4 linked regions of the Saccharomyces cerevisiae S288C genome follow. The main gene of each other region encodes a partner of the protein of the gene in region 4 in a complex. Each region holds a gene or a part of one and is shown on either strand. Other genes may lie near its edges. The genes, in order: MRPS8, MRP10, RSM10 and MRP4.

Region 1 (2,674 bases), on a different chromosome or scaffold from region 4:
ACCAGTATGTTATCATGTACGGTGTTAGATGATGACATAAGGTATGAGAAACTGTCATGGAAGTTAGACGAAGCTGAAATGCAAGGATTGATAATGTAATAACATAATGACACATATAAAACAGAGTGAAGAATAATCGTAGTACTATTATGTAGAAATATCAATTCCATTTTGAGGATTCAACCTAAAATTCATATGTTTTTCAATATTAAATATAAAGGAGCTAAGATTTGGCGTAGGATCTTCGTCTATAAATTTAGTTGCTGATAAATTATTCTCCATTGTTGCTTTTATTGAGTATTAAAGCATTTAATGCTAGAATCCTCCATAACAGACAGCTTCAGTAGCTCAGTAGGAAGAGCGTCAGTCTCATAATCTGAAGGTCGAGAGTTCGAACCTCCCCTGGAGCACATTTTTTTTCAAAACTTTTTATCACTGCTAGTAAAGGTAATGAATGAAGGACGTTACTGTAGTACTATACTCATCATCATTGTCTGCATTTTATAATATTATTATTTACATGGTCCGTATATTTTTTAATTACACGTATAAATACGGTCATATGTGATTGTTCTATTCATTTTACTCTGCATAGTACTTCTCCATCCAACTTTTTGGATATGGCTTCATTAATGTCCATAATGTTGTTATGAGCTCGAACTAGAATCAGTTCTCCTGGTTGTAGTGGTTTGATGTTTCTAATAGTTACGCCAGAGCATAGTTTCTTCATGTCTTCCATTGGCAGGTGTATTCTTGAATTTGGTTTGGAAATTAATTTGCAGCTGCTGAGGACAGGTTTGTTATCTCTATACTTCAATCCAACCCAAAGCCTTCTAGTAGAGATATTGTCTGGTGTTACTTCAACAAAATCTTTGTCTGGTCCCATAGTCGATCCCTTCTGTAAAGACGATAAGAACCCTTGTTGGTAAAGGTTATACGCAAACTGTAGCTGCAATTTCGTATATGGGATCGATGTTAAGGCAACTCTAACTTTCGAGCAGTTCTGTAAATGAGCACACGTATTCGCAAGTTTGACCAACGACATTTTGGGCGATTAGTTTAGATCGAAAAAAAGGTGTATGTGGTCGCTTCTTTGCCTTTGGCTTTCTTCTGTTTTTCCGTTCTTCTTCCTCAGTTTGTCGATTTAATTTCAAAAAGCGGTTTGTAAGGACTGCCGGTAAAGCTAAAATGAATGAATCCCCATAGGAAGATTAATACATAACGAGCCCAGATAAATAGACTACCTACATGTTGCGACCACTGAGAAAAAGCGTTCTAGCAAGCTGCCGACATTGTTTCAAGGTGTGCGGTGGGTTGCCTCAAAAGCAATTACCCTTATTTTCACCATTGCTCTTGAGAGCACGATACTCATCAACTGATAGCTCAACTAAAAGGTCTAACAAATCAGATAAAATAGATGCTCCAGGATTTAAGAAAATTTTCCTTGTTGCTATTATCGGTACAGTGATATTTGTCAAGACAGTACAGTCTTTAGATAAGAACAAACCGAAGACAACATTATCAGAAGAAGAATTCGAAAATGTGGTTAAAGGGTTGAAAAGACGTGTGGCTATCTTCCCACAAGGTGAGGTCGATATAAAGTTTTCCTTATCACCCAGCATTGAAGAAACTAGAAAGGTACTGCAGAAATCACAAGGCGATGATATAAATGAGCTGCAGTTTGTCGATCCAGTCAAGGTCATCGATTACTACAGAACCTTGAGGGATGATAGATATGAGGCTTTATTAAATGAATACTACAAAAAATACGGGTGTGACACGTACGCTTACAATTTGCCGACCGGTATGTTGGTCATGCTTTTGGGTAGATATTTCAAAGAGAACTTCAAGACCGGTGACAAGCTAGTAGTTGTGAACTTTCCTCATTCGATTGCTGATGCAACAAGATTTGAAAATGAGGTTTCTATAGTGTCTAAAATCTTTGTTCCGAGGAAATTGAGTGGCTCTGACGTCTGTAAATATTACGAAACTGTAGGTAAAGCTGATATCATCTGAGGATGTTTTCTTTTTTTTTTTTTTTTGGTTTCTTCTCCTTGTTAATAGCTTATATGTATATATATCTGGATATATGTCCTGAATATGCTGCTTATCTGTCATATAACATTCTCATTTTCTGTTCCCTTCATCTATGTGAATGAATTCTGTGCGTTTCTTTCGTTTCCCCTCTTTTGCGTATGGCTTTAAATCGATTTTAATCTGTAAAATCATCCCAAAATCAGATGGATAACATAGAAAACTGAACCGAAGGAAAGCCCATGTCCCACAAATTAACAATCCTGCCATTTCTGATTAAGTTCACGCCCAAGTTTCCACAATCCATTGATCACGACGAGCATGGTCTAAACGTTTATGCCTTTGATCTGGACCATACAATTATCAAACCAAAGTCCCCCAATATAAGTTTTAGTAGAAGCGCAAGTGATTGGCAGTTTATTAATTTTAACTCCAAGAAATCCACCCTGGATTACCTGTGTAATATCATTGATAATGATCCCACGGCCGTCATAGTCATATTTTCTAACCAAGGTGGTGTCATCACCGTCCCAAGAACTTCTAAAAGTTGCACCAAGTACACTAATAAAATTTTGCTATTTTTAAAGGCAATCAAAAACGATGAGAGAGGAGAAACGTTATCACACAGGTTATGGCTATA
Region 2 (2,564 bases), on a different chromosome or scaffold from region 4:
GACACACAGACCCATTTGGTGAAGCATTAAAGCCTATTCAAAGAACAGATTCTAACTGGCCTGATTTTATGAGGTTGCAACCTCTCTTACACTGGGACTTAACCAATATATGGAGTTTCTTACTGTATTCTAATGAGCCAATTTGTGGACTATATGGTAAAGGTTTCACATCAATCGGCGGAATTAACAACTCATTGCCTAACCCACACTTGAGAAAGGACTCCAATAATCCAGCCTTGCATTTTGAATGGGAAATCATTCATGCATTTGGCAAGGACGCAGAAGGCGAACGTAGTTCCGCTATAAACACGTCACCTATTTCCGTGGTGGATAAGGAAAGATTCAGCAAATACCATGACAATTACTATCCTGGCTGGTATTTGGTTGATGACACTTTAGAGAGAGCAGGCAGGATCAAGAATTAAGTACGGTTTAACGGAGGAAAGAAAATAAAATGCTGATGTTACTATTAGATTAAAAGTTTATATATTTTCCGTTGAGACTATTTAATTTGTATATACAAGGCCATGACTTTAATATTATCAAGTTTTCATTCTTGCTGCTTTTGGATATAAAATTAATCATGGGGTTTACCGTTGATCCTATCATACAGCCTAGCGGCGTGATAGTTAATATTGCTCTTTTGAACGTTGTTTCTTTTGCCGAGGGCACTTTCACTAGTGCAACTTTTCAATTCCGTTACTAAGCCAGCACATTTAGGGCTCATATGACCATATGAAGACCAGCATTGTAATAAGTTTGACATTAAAACAAGACATTTGTTCGCTTCTTGCCTAATGATAGGTTTCTTCACTTTTAGTCTGGGAAGAGGGGGTAATCTATAAACTGGTGGTTTTCCGGACATTAATGGGCACTCTTTATTTTAGATGGAAGTTTCGGCGAGCCCTCGTGTTGCTATGGTAAGACTTTTGTCTCACTTAAAGCCTCAAAGCTTTTATATTCTGCCTAAAATACTGGGAAAAGAATTAATATGTAAAGTCCGCATTACCCGGAGAACGAACCTGTCATCATATATAATAACCAAAGATGTGCGTAAGGGAGAAATTTTGCAATGAGATATCAATGTAATGACATGTTTTTAATACGTACACACTAAATAGATGATTTTTAATTAGAGGAAAGGAATGGAAAAGAAGTAGGTGTTGACAAAGGCGCTGAAGCATTGGCCGACAAAAAAATATTAAGAGTAACCACATTCGACTAGATGGTGGTTATAACAAAAAGAGGAAAAACCCTGCCTCGAACGGGTGAAGAGAACATGGGGTAAAAGAAAAGAATACATGGAACGAGAAGGGAAATAAACACGGATCAATGAGTTGTATGAATCAGATCACCTTGGTGGGAAGATGACTTCTCCGGTTAAGCAAGTGATCAGATCATCCTTTTCAGTGTAAGCTCTTGCTACAACAACATATTTGCCAGGTGGAACCTCGCCTGGGATCTCAACTATTTTCTTAATGTTGTATTCACCCGGTTCAATTGGACAGGATAAGCCTTCGATATCGTTATCTTCTAATGTTTCACACAAATCAAAAGTCTGGGATAACAGTCTGATGTATCCTAGACGGACTTCAACGTCGATATATGCCCCCTCTTCTATAGTTTCAAAGACCTCACCGTTAGCAGAAATAGTCAAATTTTCGCCACGAACAGGAGGGTTAGGGTCCAAATTGACCTCTTTGATTTCCACAAGTTGCTTGTCTAGAATGTCACATTGGTAAAGTGGAGATTCGCCGTTAATTGGTTTGGTGTTTGGTGGGGGAAGGGCGTTGAATATGCCAATCACACCCGCATTGACAGCAGCTGTGTAAAGAAATAGCAAGGCGAATAGAGCTTTCAAGCTGTGGGTCATTTTGGAAGGCGTGCTAGCTTTGAAGGAGAAGATTTAATATGGTTATGCTTTTCTGCCTTGGCGAATCAGCTCTTTAAGTAGCGCCAGTCTTTTATATTTCCCCTCCCGAGTGTTGATTAAAGTTTTTTTATTATCAGGGATTCCACCCTCTTTCAATAGATCCAAACCGTGGGAGGTGACGTTTCGGCACGATGAACGTAATAATTATTGTGATAATAATATAATGTAATATAACATAGTAGTATTATATATATATATATATATATATATAAATAGGAAAGAAAGGACAAGGACAAAAAGGAAAAGAAAACTGCAATTGTTGAATATGTAGTTACTAGTTCTCATTCCTTCTTTTTTTTTTTAATTTTTTATTTGGTCATTTTGACCATAGTAAATGGAATGCTCTTAGAATGTGCTTGTTGTGTATCGTATCGTAGCAAATGGCGTAATGAAAAAGTTTCTGATTTTTGTAGTCTTTTTTTTATTGTGAAAATTATTTTTATTCGTCGAGTTAGGGAGGGCATGCCGTCGTGTTATAAGAAATAGCCGGCTCTTTGATTATTATGGTTTGCCGTGGATTCTCTTATGTAGTCATCGGGAACAGCCGAGAAAATTTTGAAAGTAGGTTCCAGATCCTCATCGACCTTCATTACACTCGCGACATTACCACATCTATAACAGTAATTTGGCG
Region 3 (3,160 bases), on a different chromosome or scaffold from region 4:
CATTTTCAGATTAGCGGAGTATATTGTATACAAACTCTCTGACCAGAAGTATCGGTTACACACATCCCTGAATGTCCAACATTTCAGGTGGAATTCGAAGAAGAATACAAACAGAAAAAGGACACTTTCCTTTAGCAAAGCTTACTTACCAAGAACAAATATACTACCGATTTTTGTAGCCGATGGACTAAAAAATAGATTCTCAGGCCCGCTACCTGGTAAGTCCTTGGAAAGCTTCCAGAAACTAAATTTATTGAGCGATAACAATATTAAGCGGTATGCAGTACCAGGAAACAAAGCAGTGAACACACTTTTATGGCAAGAGCAATACTCATAACGGGCCGCAATATTAGTACAAAATTGTTCATCATATAGTTAAAAAATATAATTAAACTTACTTATAAATTCAGTATAACCATTTAATCTACTACTTTTTGCCCCTCTTCTTCACCTATTTTATTTACAAGTACGAAATCTTTTCGGTCCCAAGAACCAGCGTAATTATAGGATTGCCATCATCTTTTTACTTCTTTTCCAAATGTTTTTTAAAATCGGGGCTATCCAATAGTTCCAATACTTTTTGTCCGACAGCACTAGTTTGAGCTTTATCATCGTTTCTCAGAGAATACAATTCATCGATATTGCTTAGTGATTTTTCGAGGCCATTGGCGTCCGAACCCAAGTCCAGCGATATTTCGGACCTTTGAAAGAAGTTACATTTCATTCCGACGCCTGCCATAGAGTGCTTCGTAATGTAAGCTATCAACATCTGTAGCACTTCGGGGTTCGTATCCCAGGCCCTAATGAGCCTCTTATGTGTATGTCTTTCAAAATTCTCTTTGGATTTAGCGTGCACGAAAGGTGATTTTATTACAGTCCACCTTTCTCTTCTCGTGGGCAAAGGTTTAGGACCTGTCAATGGGATACCCAAATAGTAACCTGTTCTAAGTATGAAGTCTGAATAAAAATCGAGGTTTTCATTGTCATACGATCTTAACTGAATGTCTGCAACTAAATCACCATATTTGATAGGTAACTTTAAAGGAGCATAGTAGACTGCCTCTACATTTACAGGATATGGGCGCGTCGACTGTGTTCTGATAAATGATCTTAATGCAATGGTATTTCTAAGCATTGGCCAATGTTTTTCCCCCTTTTCTGATTTTGCACGGTTCGCATAATTCTAATTTGTACCAAATAGTTTCATTTCATGCCCTTTCTTGCATTTTTTCCTTTTCAAAAGAAAATAGATGTACAGGTATTACCCGCCTGGTACATAGTTTGCTAACATTCTTGCCCAATCTCTCTGCTGTTAATAAAGGATGTGTGGATACATGACTAATTTCCGGATTAAACAGTGACGATAAGAAACGGTATGGCAAGAGTCAGAATTTGATAAGACTTCAGTAATATTGATTATCGGTCGAACTAAGCTACCCTCTTGGTTAAATTCTAATGACTACCAGTGTGGTCAATATTTTAGGGTTATCGGTGAACGATAACAAAATCCGTAATTGTTTCCTACGCTGGTTATTACTAAGTAGCCACTCGGTGGCTATCTCTAGCCGTTCATCAATCATGTCAAAAGTACAATCACTGAGCTTATTAAGTCATCCGCACGTGGAACTCACACAAGCCCCGAATTTTGTCAGCCATTCCGTGGAAAATCCTTTATCTCGTCACTCTTGTACGGAAGTTGCACCTTTAGCCCCACTCCCAGATCTTCAATCACAGAGGCAATGAGGGTGGCTGTGCAATGTAAACTTTCTTATCGCTTCCTGTTATGATTGATTACCATGCGCGGTAGAAGGATTGAATGAGGGGTGTGGGTGTGATAATTCATGTACGGACCCTTTCCTCCCAGAAGCTTCTGCACGAAGTGGTTACATTGTGAGTACAGGGTCTTAAACATCGCCGTGCGGCGTCATTTTGCGGGGCTCATCATTTATTTCCTACTTCTATGACGTTTGTTAGGGCAGGGATGTAGATTTTGGTCATATACTTTCACCTGACAGAAGAAAAAACAAGGTCTTAGAGCAGTATTCCCGAATTATTGCCTCTTTCCTTGGTGGGTGCGGGTTAATATTAGATGAACGGTGGGTTGTGGTCAAACCCGGGGTAGGTTTTAAAATGTCATGCGTTTTCGTCATTTACATAGATATATACAGGGAAAATATATATATATATATATATATATATATATACCTAAGGGAAACAATTTGAATAGATAAAAGGTCTTTTCCTCTTATTCCGTTCTTTCTTTTTAGAGTACTATTAATTTCTACTATTTCTCCTATCTTTCTTTTCTCATTAGTAATAGTCTAATCATTTATATTCTAATATTAACTTTAATAAAGCAGATATCTTCATCAAGTGAACTGTTCACACTTAATTCACATTTATTTGAGGCAACAATACGTATATTTACTAATTAAAGAAAAAACTTCGTACACAGAATTGAAAATTTTCGATGGGCGAAGGAACTACTAAGGAAAACAATAATGCAGAATTCAATGCTTATCACACGCTGACTGCAGAAGAAGCCGCTGAATTCATAGGCACAAGTCTAACTGAAGGTTTGACCCAAGATGAGTTCGTCCACAGATTGAAAACAGTGGGTGAGAACACATTGGGTGATGACACTAAAATTGATTACAAGGCAATGGTCCTCCATCAGGTATGTAATGCCATGATCATGGTCCTTCTAATATCCATGATAATCTCGTTTGCCATGCATGATTGGATTACTGGTGGCGTTATTTCTTTTGTTATCGCGGTCAATGTGCTCATTGGCCTAGTTCAAGAATATAAGGCTACCAAGACAATGAACTCTTTGAAAAACTTGAGCTCTCCCAATGCTCATGTTATTAGGAACGGGAAAAGTGAGACTATAAACTCAAAAGATGTGGTTCCAGGTGATATTTGTCTGGTGAAGGTCGGTGATACTATTCCTGCTGATTTGCGTTTAATTGAAACTAAGAATTTTGATACTGATGAATCACTACTGACCGGTGAATCTTTGCCTGTCTCCAAAGACGCCAACTTAGTGTTTGGAAAAGAAGAAGAAACCTCCGTGGGTGATCGTTTGAATTTAGCATTTTCTTCATCCGCCGTTGTCAAGGGAAGAGCCAAGGGTATTGTCATCAAGACAGCTTTGAAT
Region 4 (3,460 bases):
GTCAGTCTTAACAGAATTCCGTCATGAAGGTAATTATGTGTTGAATTTTGCCACACAACAATACAAATGTTGGATTTCGTTGCCAATTGTATTTGTACTAATTGCTGCGTTACAATTAGTTAACCTGTATTGGCTGTTTTTAATTCTTAGAATCTTGTACAGATTGATATGGCAAGGTATCCAAAAGGACGAAAGAAGTGACAGTGATTCTGATGAGAGCGCTGAAAATGAAGAATCTAAGGAAAAGTGTGAATAAACGTATCTTAAGGAGAATACGTATCATCATATGATTTCCCCCCTGTATGAAGGCCAAGTTAACATGGTATAGCTCATAGTTGTTGTTATAAGAAGCATAAACCCAAGTACGAAAGTAATAATTCTGTAAAAAAAAAAAAAAATGCGTTTATTTAGCGTCTTCGGGTTGGCTATATATATATATTTAAGGATATATGGGCATATGTACAAGTTTAGGTTAACAAGCCAAAAGAAAATAAAAGTGTTCATTTTTCGTTATTTCTGGCCAAGCGATTTTGCAAGCCTCTTTGGCCAGCTCTCGCCAAGACTCCTAGTAAGAAATTGACAGATCTCAATGAATCATCGTTACCTGGGATAGGGTAGGTCACCAAAGAAGGTTCGGAGTCAGTATCGATGATTGCGATAGTTGGGACCCTTGATTTAATTGCTTCTAACAAAGCGTTTCTATTTTCTGTGGGATTTAATACGACCAGCAAGTCAGGCTTAACCTGCTTTGATGTTTCATTCGGTGATAACGCTCTTTCGGTGGGATTGTCATTAGAGTCGATTTCCTGCTTCTCCCAGATACCTGAAATTTCTGTAGAATTCGTCAAAGTACCCGGGATCCATCTGGTAGACACATAATAACCATGTGTCTTCTTAGCAGCTTCCTCGAGCCCTCTTTTCTGGCCTTGTCTTGTACCCAGAAATAGGATAATGCCACCGGATTCCGAAACGCCCTCTACTACCTTGGCGGCTCTCTTCAAATAGGACAAAGTTTGGTTTAGATCTATTATGTGAATACCTTTATATTCACCGTATATGTAGGATTGTGTGGAAGACCTCCAAAGTGAGGTAGACTGGCCCAAGTGAACACCAGCAGACATTAAGCTCTCAACAGTAATGTTTTCTGGGAGGGGCGGATAGAAAATGTCCTTATGAGGATAGTAAACCTTCGAAATAGTGGCACCCAATTTAGCGGTACGCATGGAATGGTTTAGTTGACGCAAGAAAAGTTCTTGAGAGGAATATGGTTTGTCATTGGCCGAAGGTATAAGGTTAGGGTAAGGCTTGGTTGGCGTGGCTGCTGCTGTCGTTGTAGAAGATTGTCCATCTAATGTCTTGCTGTCAAACAACTTGTTCAACAGAGCATAATTTCTGAAAAAGTCACTCAATTCAGCCTCCAGCTGCTGTTCTTTGTCAGAGAGTTTGTCTTGCTCTAATGACTTTTTCAACTCAGGTAATATTTCATCTTCTGGTACCTGAGATAGAGACTTCAATTCTGATCTAATTTCATCATACAAAAGTTTCTGTTGCAACAGCATCACCTCATCGTTATTGTTAGGGGTGTTGGCCGCACCGGATGCTGACGACTGAAACCTTTTGGTAAGGGAAGGGTTCCTCAATAAGGAAAGACGTCTGAAATTCCTCGCAAAAACGTGTCTCTGCATGAGAAAAGAGTCGTTTCTCACTTTTTATTTCTCGAATCACCTGTATTTGTGCCCCGCGATAATCAGGCTCTCGAGCGTATGTACACTTGCCAGAACTGATTATTATTTACCATCAAATATAGCAGTGACCTACGACATACAAATTTCATCTCTCGGATTCACTTACCGAATTGATTTTTTTCTTGCACTCTTTTCTGACCCGGCACGGCCTTTTCTTACCGAGATAAACAGGAAAATAGGGCAGTATGCGTGTGTTATACGTGAGAGAGAGCAAGCGGGTGAGTATTCGTTTCATTACAGTTTATGCATTAACATAAACGTATACATATTACACATACACATATACATAGATAGATACATATACGCATATATTAATGCTCAGGTGCAATAACGGGTGCAACAACAGCAGCAGCAGGATACAATATGCAGTTTGAAGAGCGGTTGCAACAGCTAGTAGAAAGCGATTGGAGCCTGGATCAGTCAAGCCCAAACGTACTGGTGATAGTCCTTGGAGACACTGCCAGGAAGTACGTAGAGTTAGGAGGACTGAAGGAGCACGTGACTACGAACACTGTGGCAGGTCACGTGGCAAGCCGGGAGCGGGTATCCGTAGTTTTTTTGGGCCGGGTAAAGTACTTATACATGTACCTCACCCGGATGCAAGCGCAGGCGAATGGTCCGCAATACTCTAATGTACTCGTCTATGGATTGTGGGATCTCACCGCGACACAAGATGGACCGCAACAGCTGCGGCTACTTAGCCTTGTGTTACGGCAGTGCCTCAGTCTGCCATCTAAAGTTGAATTCTATCCAGAACCGCCTTCTAGTAGCGTGCCTGCCCGGCTATTGCGATTCTGGGACCATATTATCAGATAGCTGCATTGTGTTACATGCGATATCGTAGAAGACGATAGAACGAAAAAGAAACGTTAATCTTTTTTTCCTTTTTTTTTCGATTAAAAAAAAAAAATTTTCGCCTCGTGGCCCGAAACACGGCCAAGAGAGGGAATTCGAAAGTCTACCGCTTTTGGCAGCTGAAAAATTCAGAAAGTCACCTGGCCAGAGAGGAAAAATACGAAACCAAAAAGAGGCATCCGTAAATTCGCATTAGCAACGCATGCTTACATAGATACTCACATACTACACACACTTACATACTTTCTTAAAGACATACATCCGTACGTACAATTAGAGCGAGGTAGCAAGCAACCCAAACTTCTTCCCTTCACTGCCTCACACCCCATCCTAAATATCCCACAAGATCCTCGACTAATACAAGAAATGAGCAATGATCCATCTGCTGTATCGGAACTACCAGACAAGGACAGTCTTGATAACGGTATCAGCAATGACAATGAAAGGGCCATGGGCGGCAATGGCGATGGCGGCGATGGATTACGATTACCAAGGACCACTGGAACTTTGAACGTCAATGCCTTACAAAAAGGCACTAATGCTGCCCATGAAGCTGGTGGATACAAATCCATGGATCCTGCGAAGAACGCGGAGACAACCAATGATGATGACAATAATGTCGTTTCACTAGATGATCCTATTCAATTTACCCGAGTATCTTCCTCCTCTGTCATCAGTGGAATGTCTTCATCCATGAGTCCTCATTCTAACATCGATGAAACCAAATCTCTAGAAGCAGTCACTCCAAACATAAATACCAGCAATATAACCCCGGATCATTCTGCTGACAACACATTTTCTACCATAAATGCGTCCGAGTCAGATCACCAGTTTAATGACACTTTACTATCAAAACTGTC

The links.
Region 1: MRP4 (region 4) and MRPS8 share a complex: the UniProt entries of both Saccharomyces cerevisiae proteins name them as parts of the mitochondrial small ribosomal subunit.
Region 2: MRP4 (region 4) and MRP10 share a complex: the UniProt entries of both Saccharomyces cerevisiae proteins name them as parts of the mitochondrial small ribosomal subunit.
Region 3: MRP4 (region 4) and RSM10 share a complex: the UniProt entries of both Saccharomyces cerevisiae proteins name them as parts of the mitochondrial small ribosomal subunit.

The regions. Positions count from the first base shown.
Region 1 is NC_001145.3:570,619-573,292, reverse strand, and holds MRPS8 (mitochondrial 37S ribosomal protein uS8m MRPS8), read right to left. Parts: upstream 1,046-2,674; coding exon 578-1,045; downstream 1-577. Other genes in the region: YMR158C-A (uncharacterized protein), read left to right, coding at 1-99; AIM36 (Aim36p), read left to right, coding at 1,249-2,016; TPP1 (polynucleotide 3'-phosphatase), read left to right, coding at 2,277-2,674. UniProt on the Saccharomyces cerevisiae protein: Component of the mitochondrial ribosome (mitoribosome), a dedicated translation machinery responsible for the synthesis of mitochondrial genome-encoded proteins, including at least some of the essential transmembrane subunits of the mitochondrial respiratory chain.
Region 2 is NC_001136.10:370,549-373,112, reverse strand, and holds MRP10 (mitochondrial 37S ribosomal protein mS37 MRP10), read right to left. Parts: upstream 866-2,564; coding exon 578-865; downstream 1-577. Other genes in the region: FAD1 (FMN adenylyltransferase), read left to right, coding at 1-425; NPC2 (sterol transporter), read right to left, coding at 1,352-1,873; type 2A-related serine/threonine-protein phosphatase SIT4, read right to left, coding at 2,407-2,564. UniProt on the Saccharomyces cerevisiae protein: Component of the mitochondrial ribosome (mitoribosome), a dedicated translation machinery responsible for the synthesis of mitochondrial genome-encoded proteins, including at least some of the essential transmembrane subunits of the mitochondrial respiratory chain.
Region 3 is NC_001136.10:537,778-540,937, reverse strand, and holds RSM10 (mitochondrial 37S ribosomal protein uS10m RSM10), read right to left. Parts: upstream 1,136-3,160; coding exon 524-1,135; downstream 1-523. Other genes in the region: YDR042C (uncharacterized protein), read left to right, coding at 1-337; Na(+)/Li(+)-exporting P-type ATPase ENA1, read left to right, coding at 2,471-3,160. UniProt on the Saccharomyces cerevisiae protein: Component of the mitochondrial ribosome (mitoribosome), a dedicated translation machinery responsible for the synthesis of mitochondrial genome-encoded proteins, including at least some of the essential transmembrane subunits of the mitochondrial respiratory chain.
Region 4 is NC_001140.6:97,444-100,903, reverse strand, and holds MRP4 (mitochondrial 37S ribosomal protein uS2m MRP4), read right to left. Parts: upstream 1,686-3,460; coding exon 501-1,685; downstream 1-500. Other genes in the region: sphingosine N-acyltransferase LAG1, read left to right, coding at 1-256; YHL005C (uncharacterized protein), read left to right, coding at 1,684-2,076; SHU1 (Shu1p), read left to right, coding at 2,109-2,561; mitogen-activated protein kinase kinase kinase kinase STE20, read left to right, coding at 2,967-3,460. UniProt on the Saccharomyces cerevisiae protein: Component of the mitochondrial ribosome (mitoribosome), a dedicated translation machinery responsible for the synthesis of mitochondrial genome-encoded proteins, including at least some of the essential transmembrane subunits of the mitochondrial respiratory chain.